Drosophila melanogaster: one gene and its partners. The protein of the gene in region 2 interacts with the protein of the main gene of each other region in a pairwise test. Each region holds a gene or a part of one and is shown on either strand. Other genes may lie near its edges.

Region 1 (3,621 bases), on a different chromosome or scaffold from region 2:
CATTGTATAAATAATATGGTGGGGCAACATTGAAATTCAAATGAAATTGCGATTGAAGGAAAGCGTGTACATATTCAAAATTGATGAGCGAAAATAATTTTATGATTTGGTATACATTCAACGGTTTCCTCGAAACGAAAAACCATTTGAATAATATTTGTAGCATATCTTCCAGCTAACAGGTTGTGTGCAATCAATTGAGTGAATCAAATCAGCTGAAACTTCAATAGCTTGCAACAAAGTATTATTTTGGTGGTGGATGGGGGATACAAATTCGCACTTGTTGTTGCCAAACACGTGCAGCGATTTAGCACGCATTACATTACAATGCGGCTCCGTTTCAAGAGCACCTGTTGCCAGCGGCGGCGGAAAATGTGTGGAAAATTTGTATGGAAAATGGGGGAAAACGCGAAGCAACCACTCGAGGAGTAGAATCAGCTCAAAAGCTGGGCGTGTGCTCCACTTGGAACACAAAAGGAAAACAAAAAGAAAAACGTGCGTGGAAATTCCCGCTATCTGTGCCCCCTTTTTCGGTTCAGCGAAGGTGAACATATCGATTTCTGATTTAGCCACTTTGTTATGCTAATTTCCCCGGCTTTCCCGTCCTCGATTTTCCTCTGTTATTCTTTTTTTTCAGCGTCCTGCTCCTGTGTTGACAATTTCGATGAGCGCGTGTCGCGCATTTGGCAACCCAAATTTAATTGGCAACCCGTGCGGGAATTTCGCCTGTTTACGACAGATTCTGGACCAGATTTTATGGTAGCAATTCCATGCACACGTTTGCCCACTTTTGGGCGACTTGGAGGCGATGCACAAGACGCGGCCAACTTTTGGGCTTTTCCACGGCTAATTGAGAGCAACGAAAATGGCTTTGTTGGCGGCGGTAATAAATCGACTTTTAACTGGCGTGTGATATTTTGGCATTTATATTTCGGCAACGGCCATCAATCAGAGTCATAAGGCATAAAAAGGTGCCTGGAACGTGATCGCAATGGGTTTCTTGCAGCTCTTGCCACTTGCTTGCTTTTTTTTTTTTTGTCTTATATTTTATACTTTTTTGCAGCTGGTGGCGGCGGCAGTAAAAGTTGCTGCAGTGTAGCGCGTGCATTCGTAAATGTGATCCATGGCTTTGGGCGAATGAAGTGCACATGATAATGGCTTCTGAGGTGGAAGAGTTTAAGATGTTGATCCGAAGAGAGGGGTGTGTTAAGGTGCATATCTTATATCTGAGGAATTTATTTAGAAGATGTCTGAAATAATACATATGCTTATTAATTTTAACACCATCTATCCGACTACAGCAATTCTGAATTGGAATCTAATAAAAAATAAGATTGGATAGGTTGACTTCTTGACTTCAAACGGAGTCACAAAAGCATTCACATCTTTACTTTACTGATTCGGAGTTCTTAAACTGTTAACAATTTTTTTTTTTTCGGTAAAGTGTGAAGTTATACCTTCCACCTTAATTACCTCATTTGAAGTTTTGACCACCGACTTGTGGTTCGTACTTCCACCGAATTTCGCCTGCGGATGGGGCATTGCAAAACTTGTCGCATGCATTTGCCGCACGATTCGCTTGTCGATTGCACGTCGTGCGCAGATCCCTTAATGGAGTTTTTACCTTTCGGCTCCTCTAGTTTCCAGACCCCTCCTCCACTCCTCCTCCACCTACTCCTCCACCCACTAAATCAGCATAACTCGGATCGTGGTATATATAAACCTGCAATGGTCAGCCAAAATCGATTCATTTCGTGTGAAAGTGTCGCGGAGAAGTGACTTAATACGGAAATCGAAAACGGAAGAAAGCATAACGGGTGAAAATGTTAAATATTTCAAAAGCAAGTGAATCGAAAGTGACTTTTAACTGAAAAATAATAGTTTATCTTTATATATAGATACCTTTGATATGTGTTCTGATGTGTTTTGGTGCTCCAGCGCTTGGAAGTTTCCATCATGAACCATCGACGGTGGGCGTTCCCGTGGGAGTTCCAGTCCCAGTGCCAGTTCCTGTGCCTTCTCCATATCCGGTTCCATCTCCAGTGGCGGTACCTGCTCCAGTAGCAGTACCCGTTTCCGATACCGTCACCGTGCCAGCGGCCTTTAGTGCCCATCAAGGATTTGCGTACGGAGCTGTCGATCACTATGGTCCACCACCTCCGGCGATCTTTAAATATGCTACAACCTATGCGGCACCACAGCCAGTTATTAAGTACTCCCTTGGAGCTCCAGTGACCACTACCACCACCACCTACACCGGATTTGCAGCACCACCACCACCAGCCGTTCATTATGCTGCAGCAGCTCCACCACCACCACAGTTCATAGCCCGGTTTGCTCCTCCACCCACTGGCTATCAGTTTGCAGCTGCTGCCCCGTCATATGGCAGGTACAAGCTCCACTTTGGGTCACCACCTCATCATTCTCCGGCCGCCGTTTATGGAGCTCCCCCTCCTGTAGCATTTAGCACTCAGGGCTGGTAACTCGAGAAGCGCCAGCTGGGCTCTGGCTCATCATGCATAACTATGAATGATAATTTCCTCAAATTAGCAATTAATTAAATCTAAATAATGTTGTTATGTTTCGTATTATACGCGACTGGTGAATTTATGCGAAGAACGCGAAGCGTAGCGATTAAATTATGCTTATGTCAATACCCATAAATAATTCAGATGTTTTCATGGCTCGAAGTTATTTTTTGGCTCAGCCAATTTTGGCCAAAGGCGAGGCTTGACTTTGAGAGGGCCCAGAAAAATGAATAAATAATATAAATTTGCCGCTATTAAAGCTATGACTACGGATCAACTGACCTAAGTCAATGAATGAAAGAGGGAAATAGCGGAGCCATCCGTCAATTGGGTCAACAGTTTAAACTTTAAAGAGCCTTTGAGTTCACAGATAGACAGCTTGATTACACTACAAATATTGTTATTAAACAAATAAATCAAGTAAATTGTGTATTTCCGTATTTAAGTTTGAATACTAATATATTTGGGTGGCGGCTTAACATTTAGATTTAATGTTTAAGAAGACAGAACTGTATTTGTCCACTTTTTGGATATTAATTGGATCTTGTTATCTTGAATTAGAATACATAAGTATTTTCTTAGATACCTACATCTATAAGTCAATAAATCAAGCTATTACACTATAAACAGCACATTAGCTAAATTACTAGAAGTACAAGAACGCTATAGTCGAGTTCTTCGACTATAAGATACCCACTACTCATCTAGTGGGCGAACGAAATAGAAATTTTAACATTTTCTGTTGGCAAATCAATGTTAGTAAAATGAAAAAAAAAAAATGAATAAGTAAGTTTCTGGGTGTAATATTAAATTAATATATCTGAATTTTAAATAAAAACAGGAAAAGTTCCTCCCTTTTCTTTCAGTGTAAACCTCATTCGGATCCGCATTTATTGTGAGTGTATTTTACTATCTAAAGGTCTACGAGTAACGGGTATAATAATAATAAATTTGTATTTAACATTAATTCCGATAGTGAAAAGTGGCTCCCCATTTCTTTCAGTGTAAATTAAATTCGGATGCGCATAGATTGTGATTCCGTTCCACCATCTGAGGTCAATCTGCGATGAGAGACAAGAGACACGCAGCGAAA
Region 2 (3,924 bases):
CCACCCCAAATAACGGCATGAGCCCCCCTGATCTTTTCTAGAATTTCAGGCCGATTTTTTGGAGGTTCATTTATTACTTGCAGGATCTCGCATTGCTCCTTCAGGATTTCAATTCCCTCTGGCGGAACATCGGTATGTGCTATCAGCACTTTAAACGGCTTTGTTGTTGACATTTTAAGTCCTTCTGGTGACGAAAAGATATTATTTGATAGGAAAAATAATTACAAGTGCCACACTTTATAGATAATCACTGACACAGAGCAGAGTTTCGAATATTCTCTTTTTTCGTGAGCAGTTAGAAGCTTTTTGATTGCTCTTCCTCTCTGAAGCTCTTAAATGCTCAAAAATCGGAGTCTATTAGCACCGACGTTATATTCCCTGCGTTTCTTAAACGACTGACAAACGGTTGGCTTTGTCGCCGGACTTTTATAGAGCACCAGATCCCCCTATCACAGAAAAAGCTGACAACAAAACGCATGAAGAGCTTTTATGGTTACGTTCATAATTTTCATAATTATTCACTTATTCAATTAAACAAGAAAAAATATCAATCCATTATAGTTGCGGTTAACAAGTTCGACATTTATATGTTTAATATCATTTTTTAATATTGATTTTCCGATCCGAGTAGGATACAGGTAAAGTTTCTTCCATTCAAATTTTGCATGTTCTCAGTAGGCTGGCCTTATCATGGGCTTCCCTTCGATGGCGTTCAAAATATTATTGGCAGCAAGCAATCCCATTTCAATGGTAGTCTTCATTGTCTGAGTGCCCATATGGGGAAGGATAACTGTGGAAATATATAAATAATATTTCAGTTCACTCAGGGAAGAGAAATAAATGTTCTAGCTTACCACAATTGGGCACATTGAGAAGAGGACTATTGGCGGGCAGTGGTTCTGGTGTGGTCACATCCAAGCCTGCGGCAGAAATTGTACCATTTGTCAGGGCGTCATGAAGGTCAGTTTGATTTACCAGACCTGAAAAAATCCACGGGTATGCAATAGCGTTCATACAGTTATGTAGTTAAAATCCTACCTCCTCTGGCCACATTGACAAACACAGAACTCCTCTTCATCAGATTAAATGCCTTTCCATTGAATTTCTCTCTAGTTTCGTTTGTAAGTGGAGCAGCTACCACCAGGAAGTCACTTTCTTGTAAAAGTTGTTCAAACGACACATGCTCTGCCTTGAAGTCGCCATCGTTTTCCTTTCGGGTGCGAGTATGGTAGATGATCTTGGCCACATCCCAGCACTGCAATCGCTTGGCGATGGCCTGACTAATACCGCCAAAGCCAAAGAAACCGATGACGGAATCGCGAATCTCTTGACCCATCATCCAGTTGATCTGCTCGATTTTCCATTGGGACCTGTAAATATTTTTATATTATATTATGTTTTCATATGAAACGTATTAATGATTGGTAAGTATTAGGTGTACTTAAGTATCTGATATTCCAAAAGAGTGTAGAAGTAGAGCCGTATATAGGGCATGTGCAACTAGTTGGCAACCCTCATCCGAAAAGCTCTCAATATTAAAAGCTTCTGAGAAAAAAGCGCCCATCAGCTTTTCTTACCTCTCGATTTCGGTGCGACCGGCATGAAAGTGACGACCGGCTGCAATCATCAAGCCAATGGCGAGATCGGCCACTGCATTTTTCACCACCCCGGGAGTGTGGCCCAATGGGATTCCCCTCTTCTGGAACTCCGGAATATCCACAAAATCGATTCCGGAGGACATGGTGCTCACGCAACGCAGCTGGGATCCAGCAGCATCCAGGATTCCGGCATTCAGGGGCTGGTAATGGGCCCAATAGATGGCATCCACGCCGGGCACCTTCTGCAGGATCTCATCCCTCGAGGGCGGCACACTCTGGCAGATGATGGTCTCCGCTCCACGGGATCGGAGCAGTTCCAGAGCCGGTGCTGGGACATTTGGATGCGAAATCAGCACTTTAAAAGCCCTGGTCGCACGAGACATTTCGGGGGAAAATATAGCACTTAATATCAACTAGTAGCGGCGAATTGCAGGGCTGAACTAAGTGGAAATTTTCGAAATGACAATTCAAGCTTTTTCTGTGCCCCGCTCTTAGGCTTAAAAGGTTCTCTTAAGCTTTTACATTTTAATTTGCTCTCATCTCTTGAAATTCACATTACTATTTCCTGCGCGTTCCTATACAATTTTTAGGGATAGTATTAAAGTATTACAGTAAAAAGAAAAGTTTACAATTATAAAATTGATTATTTATATATAGCTTTATATAATTAAAGTCATTATTTATTTACGTTTCTATGAGCGATTTTCATACATATTTCGTAGTAATCAGTCAAACTATACCATTAGATTAGATTTCCACATTAATTAATCAATTTGCATCAGGAAAATGTTTTTTTACTCTATTTCACATTTACTGGGATGCGGCTAAACCCATTTAAATGTAATAGTAGGTGGGCAACTAGGTACATGGGATCCCCAGCCAAGCCACGAATCACATTATAGGTAGTAATGGTGCCACAATATGCGGCAGGACAACTGAAAGTTATGCAAAAATAACGATCTTTAAATAAATCAACTAAAAAGGTGACATTAAAGATCAACATTTACGCAGAAACATGATAAAACTAAACAGCAAAAACGTTAACCTACTCATTTGTAACCTTCAAGAAACCTTAATGAAATCTTGCCAAAATACTTTTAGACACTGTCTGTCAACCACTAAAGAGATAAGACAAAAATCTTTATACTGATAAGGGGCCAGAAGTACGAGTATTTGTTAGGTGGGGGCCCTAAAAGCAACTAGGACTGATATCAATAGCCTACAGGAACTATAAAAAGCTGTAATCTTTAGATTAGGCATACAGATTACGTCTACGCTGCAAAAGATTGTTTCAAATCGTTGCCACGCCCACAACTGTTACATACATATTTTTGAAAAATTAAAAATGCTTTATGTCCTGAGATCGAGTTGTTCGAAAGGACAGACATATACTTGTATGCAATGAAAACGTTTTCTTCTTCCCGTTACTTATTTTTGAAAGAAGTATACCGTTTACTTTTGGAGTAACAGGTATACTGATTAATCGTTCAATTTAATATACTACTACATCCTTTACTGTACAACATGGTGTACATCCTCTTGGATCACTTGTGGAAACGACGACTCGAACCCACTGCCAAATCGACCACGTCGTTGTTGACAGGGGACTTTGCACCTCTTGACTTCCGGCACATCGGCGTAGTCAGCTGGGGGCAGTATTCATTTAGAGCCACTGCCTTATGGGGCTACTGTCCTGCTCAGTCGCCGGTCTGCTTTCTTGCTGGTTGCAGCAGTTGCAGTTGCAGTTCTCTTTCTGCAGATAAATGCCCACATAGTAATCCCTGGGATTCGCCCCCAGCACCTTGAAACCAACGGGCCATGCCCAGGGGCCTTCAATTATTATATTCGATCAGCAAAGCCATAATCAGTGGGAGCAGGTTGAAAAACTACAACCGAAGTCGGGTTTCGCGAGCGAACTCTCAAGCGGCATAAGCACCCAGTTTTAAGAAGCGATGATCCTATTCCGATCCTGATCCGACAAGCTCCCGCAGCCGTTCCTGGGACTTTTGGATGCGAAATCAGCAGTTTGAAGGTCCTCGATACATTTTGGGGAAAAGTGGTAGGTTTTGCAATTGTGCAGAGCTAAACTTTGCGAATTACTAAATCAATGTTTTCTGCTCTCATTTCTTAAAACGTACAATATTATTTCCTACGATATACTATATTAGTATTTAAATTATGTTTCTCATTCTCTAGCACCAATTATTCTATTGCTTTACCTATTCCATATTAATCAGTTGAGCTAATCTTACGGTATAGATTAGATTCCCACATATTTAATTTAATAAATTTGCAACAGCAAATACTTGTTTTTTAATTGTTTTTT
Region 3 (5,573 bases), about 12 Mb from region 2:
CATTTTAATACCAATGCAAAGATCAAAGATCTATTGTTTTTCTCACCTCATAACAAACAGCCTCAGATTGGACAATATAAGAGGCAAACAAGGCCAACAAAATGGCCAAGTTCTTTACAGAACTCATCTTGCAGAGTTCCCTAACCAGCAACTGCACAACAAGAACTGGCTATACAATAAAAGTTGCCACTTTTATAAACTTCTCAATGGGGGGTTATCTGATAAGTAATCAACACTTCAGAATGTTTTGAATTTTAACTAGTCGAGAGAGGTAATTAACTTAAAACCAACCGCTAGTGAGAGGTCTCAAAGGGTAAGTACCATGCGTTTTATTTGGGCCACATGCAGTGCTCCAGTGTTTCTAACGTAATCAAAATGTACTTCGATTTGGCATGAATTGCAATTCTTATCATTCAATAACTTAAATGGATTTTAATTGGTAATTGCCCACTTAAAGATTACAATGTGTATACTATTGCGAGCACCATTCCATTTTGGGATTACACTCAAGCGAGCTATAATCTTCAGGAAAGGGAAAGCTCCACATGCAGAAGTAGCCGATAATGATTATGACCCCAAAAAGATAAGAATAATGTAATTTTAATTTTGATCATTTATTTCTTATACTTTTCTTACTCTGTTTTAATAATAAAAGTGCGAATTTGCATAGGATATAGTGTTACAGCAAAAAGTGAGGCCTCATCCGATTTGACAGCCTCAAGTGGCTTGTGCTGTGCCGTAGAATATTCCACGGATGACGGCTTGGTTCCGGATTCTTGTGCATGGAACTTGAATCGCTTCATATCGCTCAGTGGCATATTTCCATCCAAGGTTGTTTCCCTAATCGCCAAACCGCCAAGACTATCGAATATATCCCGAATGTTGAAGCTAATCACCCTTCCTTCAGATTTATCCAAGAAGTGTTCAAAGCGGATCAAAATTTCTTGCTCTGAGAAGAATTCCAGGGTGAGTAGGTGAACGGATTGCGGAAGATCATTAAAGTCGGGAAGGGATTTGGATGGAGTTATTTCGACTCCACCAGTTTTGCTAAAGAACTTCCAAAAGGGAAGGAAGAGCTCTTTCTCAGTCTTACGTTCCGTCACAGTATCTCCATCTGTCGCGGAATCGAGAATGAGGTAAAGTTTTCCTCGGGCAATCAGACCTTTGCCATATTGCGTCTCATTCAGGGCTTCACCCACTCCACCACCGTCGTTGAAGAGATGACGACGATGGATCAGCATCTCTAGGGCACCATCCTCCAAACTGGCTCCACCCTGGGAGCGGTCATTCAGGAGGACCAAACGCTTGGTATCGTCTTGAAGAGCAATTCTCGATGTGACTGGATAGAAGTTTCCGCTCACAGGCTGTCGGCTTAAGTCGGAAACGAAGTCCTCGCGTTTATCCTTCACACGTTTCATCAATTCACGTCCATTTGAATCGGTATAGAAAACTCCGTTCGAAGAAATCTCACTCTTAAAGTTTGTCACAAATTCACTACCTAGTTTATCATCGATGGGAATAGGGCCCACCATCCACTCCAACTCCACTCTGCTTACGCCCTCGTAGATACGGATCACTTGCGAAATCCAGTCGTTCACATGCTGATGGACTTCCTTGACCAAACTTCCTTCATAGACTGTGAACTCAAAATCATTTTCAAACAATTCTATATCTCCATCCTGGCGGAATGTGTAGGCGCAGGATGTGTGACTCTTGTAAACGCCAAAGTTCTGGACTATTTTCTCAGACACACCGTTCATTTCGACCGACTTCAATCGTCCTGTATGGTTGTCCATCACTAGTTTAACAACCTATGGGTTATATATCGTAGGGATAAAAAACATTTAAGTTATTAGACAATCAAATGCACTTACCGAGTTTTCTACAACAGTCTCTGAATTGTTATCTTCTCTGGGATTAATCTTCTTTATCGATGAATGTTTGACCTCTGAGCTCTCGACTTTTTTGATAGAGTAACTGGATACCTTATTTACCGTTGCCTTGAAAACTAACTCGTGCTGGGTATCATTGGATCTGTACTCCAATGCCAAAACTTGCCACGGCACTGGAACCACCTCCGATGGAACTGTTCTGCCCTTCTCATCGGTTACTTGATAGTTCTCCTCCTTAACAGGAATGCGAACATACTGAGTGGAGCTGTGGGCCAGGGGATTGTATAGGGTCACCAAAACGTTATCAGCACCATCCTTGGTGAAAGCACACTCGCTGATGTTCAACCTCAGGCAACTCTCAAACTCTCCATAAGGCATGTTGGTCAAAAGACGCAGGGCATCGCGGGCATTGTTAGATGCCCCAACAATGGCCTCGTACATCATTCGATCATAGTCATCCGAGACAGCCTGCTTCTCCGTGCCCGTAATGGCATCATGATGTTGCATCACTCCCATGACCTGGCGCAGATAATCCAGGTCTATTTTATGCTCTTCGCTAGTAAGATTCGCGAGTACAGAAAGCTGCTTGGCCACCTGCAACATGTGATTTCCATCACGCTCGAATCGTTTCTGAGTGGGTCGGGAAGTAAAGAATCCAGTCCAAAAGCTATTCTTCTCGTGAGCGTATGGGAAAAAGTCCTGAGTCTTGTTTGGCCAGGACTCTAGGCTCTGGTGCAAGGAGTTCAGATAGCAGCTTGGAGTGGAGTAGAAGATATTGTATTTTGAACCAGACGCTTGACGTTCATTGATGTACCTAACGCAAAAGAAAGTTATAAACGATTTGTGTTTCTTAATCACACCTACTTGATCAGTTTGTCCATATTTTTGTAGTTAACTTTTGCGTCCTCGTACTGGAAATCACCGCCCATAGGAACCATGATGTGATTAGTGATATACACCTCAGACACATTCTTTGCATAACTTATAAAGTCATCTACCCTCTGTTTCACATTATTTTCTTCGCTGTCACCATCAATAATGGGCTGATCAGTGCAAAGTATGTCGAAGCAAAAGCCTGGAGTGTCCGAGTAAAAGTTGTACAACATGCCGCTGAAGAGACTGACGCCGCTCATCGATTCACTGGCATCCCAAATCATCTCCATTGTCAAGTCATTCATACGTGTGTCCTTGTCGTTATGATCCATTCGTGAAAAGAACTGTCCATCGTAGCCCATGTGCGCGAAAATTGCAGCCTGCTCGCGGGAGTGTCCAAAAGTATCGATCTGCCAGCCAACTCGAGGACGACCACAGGAGCCAAACGTCTCGTTGAGGAACCTACGAAGATTAGAGTAATCAAAGACTAAGGAATATTAGTGTTTCTAATTAACCCACTTTAATCCCACAGTGAATTGATCAATAACACCCTGGTAATTGACATTTGCCTCATCGTTCATACTCCAAGCTCCGCCAGTAAACTCGAAACGTCCCTCGTTGACCAGTTTGGTGACCACCTTTTTCATGGACTCTGACTGGACGTTCCACCACTTGGCAAAGAATGCCGTCTCCACCTGAATGAAACGACGCTTGGGATCCTGGAGGAGCTGGGACACCACACTATCCAATATATATTGGACACCGGCATGATGAATTTTGTTCTTGTAACCATAATAAGACTGATCAACTGTCTTCAACCAGCCCACATCGTTGTGGGAGTGAGGAACCAAATGGATGTTAACCATGTTCGCTTTTGTTTCGGGACATGACTGCAAATAATATCAAAGGATATAGTGATATCATTTTGAAAAGCATCAACAAATTTATATTACCTCATAGCCACAAACTGCTTCGGATTGTTTTGCGAAGAGCACCAATAAGATGGACAGGAATAAAATGCGACCCAAATAAGTCATCTTGTCATTACCAAGTACTGAATTCCCATTAAACCAAGACTGCTCCTTTATAGGGCGCACCGTTTCTAAGAAGGCATTGATAAGAAAATACATGATGGTCACTAAGATAAGGTAACCTAATTAGCAATTAGTGGGTTATTAAAAACTTGGTGAATACTTTTTTTTAGAATGCCCACCCTCCACGTAGCGATAAGAATTGGACCCATTATTTATCAACCACTTCAAGGATTGAAGCTCCTGAAATGCACTTGCGCCCTTATTGATAACTTAGCGTATTGAAAAAGAATTTAATATACATTTTTTTAAATAAAAATTATATGATTGAGACTCTCTGTAGTGAGTGGGAAAGGTTTCTGCACACTGCTTATAAAATAAAAGTAATCAACAGTCATAAGTAACTTGAATTATATGAGGCCGTAACTGTTAATTCCATATAAACATGGTAATACTCCACTAACTTCTAAAGTAAAACCTCAGAGTTAATTGGGTTAAACCCGTGCGGTTAATTGAATTTTGTAAAGTTTTAAAAAATTTTCATATGACTCGTATTACTTCCCTGTATGTATGAGGGACTTATTTCCTAATAAGTTAAAGCAAAACAACAGTGTTTTTATTCAGACATAATTTTATTTATTTCTTTGATTTTCATTGAAATACAATTATTCATGTTTAATGATGAATGTTCGAATCTGCATTGGATACAATGTGACAGCGAACTCGGCGGCATCTTGCGTCTGGTTAGCGGACAGCGGCTTGTGGGACGAGGTGTAGTACTCAGGTTCTGATCCCCTAATTCCTGAACCCTCAGCGTGGAACTTGAACTGCTTCATGTCACTCAAGGGCAGGTTGCCATCCAAGGTAGTTTCGCGGATTTCGACTCCGTTCAGGTAGTCAAAGATCGGGCGAATGTTAAAGCTAACCACTTTGCCTTCGATGTGATCCTTGAAGTTCTCCACACGCAGCAGAATCTCATCGTCGTTGAAGGGTTCTAGGGTGAGCAGATGCACCGACTTGGGGAAGTCGTCAAAGCTGGGAACCGACTTGGCAGCAGCGGTGGTGCTTCCAGTGTTCTTGCTGAAGAACTTCCAAAGGGGCAGATGGAACTCCTTTTCGGCTTCGCGCTCGGCGGACGTGGACTCGTCGGCGGCGTTAAGGATTAGGAACACCTTACCACGGGCAATCAAGGGCTGGCCGTACTTCTCCTCATTCAAGGCCTCTCCCACTCCATAGCCATCATCACGGACGAGTCGACGGTGCAGCATAAGTTCAATTTGGCCATCCTTCATGCTGGTGCCTCCTTGAGCACGATCGTTTAGGATCGCAAGGCGCTTGTTGCTGTCCTGCAGAGCAATGCGCGATGTGATGGGATAATAGTTTCCGGAAGTAGGCTGGACAGCAAGCTCGGGGGTGAAGTCCTCTCGCTTGTCCTTTTCGCGTCTGATCAACTCGCGTCCATTGGAATCAGTATAGAATACGCCATTGGAGGCAATTTCACTGCTGAAGATAGTTACTACTTCCGTGCCAAATTCCTCTTCAACCGGAATAGGGCCTACAAGCCACTCGAATTCCACGTAAGGCTTGTCCTCGCTGATACGGATGACCTGCGAAATGTATTCGCTGAAACGCTGGTGAACTTCCTTGACTAAAGCTCCATCGTAAACAGTGAACTCGACACCATCTTCCTGGATGACGAAGTCTCCTTGATTGTACTGACGGAACACATAGGCACCAGAGTCATAGGTCCTATAAAGACCATAGCTCTGCTCAATGT

Evidence for each region. The genes of interacting proteins can lie anywhere in the genome.
Region 1: the proteins of CG31673 (region 2) and CG13045 interact in a two-hybrid assay, tested with the Drosophila melanogaster proteins (one large-scale study listed by BioGRID).
Region 3: the proteins of CG31673 (region 2) and LManIV interact in a two-hybrid assay, tested with the Drosophila melanogaster proteins (one large-scale study listed by BioGRID).

The regions. Positions count from the first base shown.
Region 1 is NT_037436.4:16,289,096-16,292,716, reverse strand, and holds CG13045 (uncharacterized protein), read left to right. Parts: upstream 1-1,766; 5' UTR 1,767-1,841; intron 1,842-1,898; 5' UTR 1,899-1,919; coding exon 1,920-2,483; 3' UTR 2,484-3,005; downstream 3,006-3,621.
Region 2 is NT_033779.5:20,827,727-20,831,650, reverse strand, and holds CG31673 (uncharacterized protein), read right to left. Parts: upstream 2,043-3,924; 5' UTR 1,982-2,042; coding exon 1,578-1,981; intron 1,371-1,577; coding exon 1,039-1,370; intron 981-1,038; coding exon 855-980; intron 791-854; coding exon 672-790; 3' UTR 588-671; downstream 1-587. Other genes in the region: CG31674 (uncharacterized protein), read right to left, coding at 1-173.
Region 3 is NT_033779.5:8,768,543-8,774,115, forward strand, and holds LManIV (lysosomal alpha-mannosidase IV), read right to left. Parts: upstream 3,803-5,573; coding exon 3,719-3,802; intron 3,656-3,718; coding exon 3,285-3,655; intron 3,228-3,284; coding exon 2,757-3,227; intron 2,707-2,756; coding exon 1,875-2,706; intron 1,812-1,874; coding exon 633-1,811; 3' UTR 617-632; downstream 1-616. Other genes in the region: LManIII (lysosomal alpha-mannosidase III), read right to left, coding at 47-127; LManV (lysosomal alpha-mannosidase V), read right to left, coding at 4,462-5,573.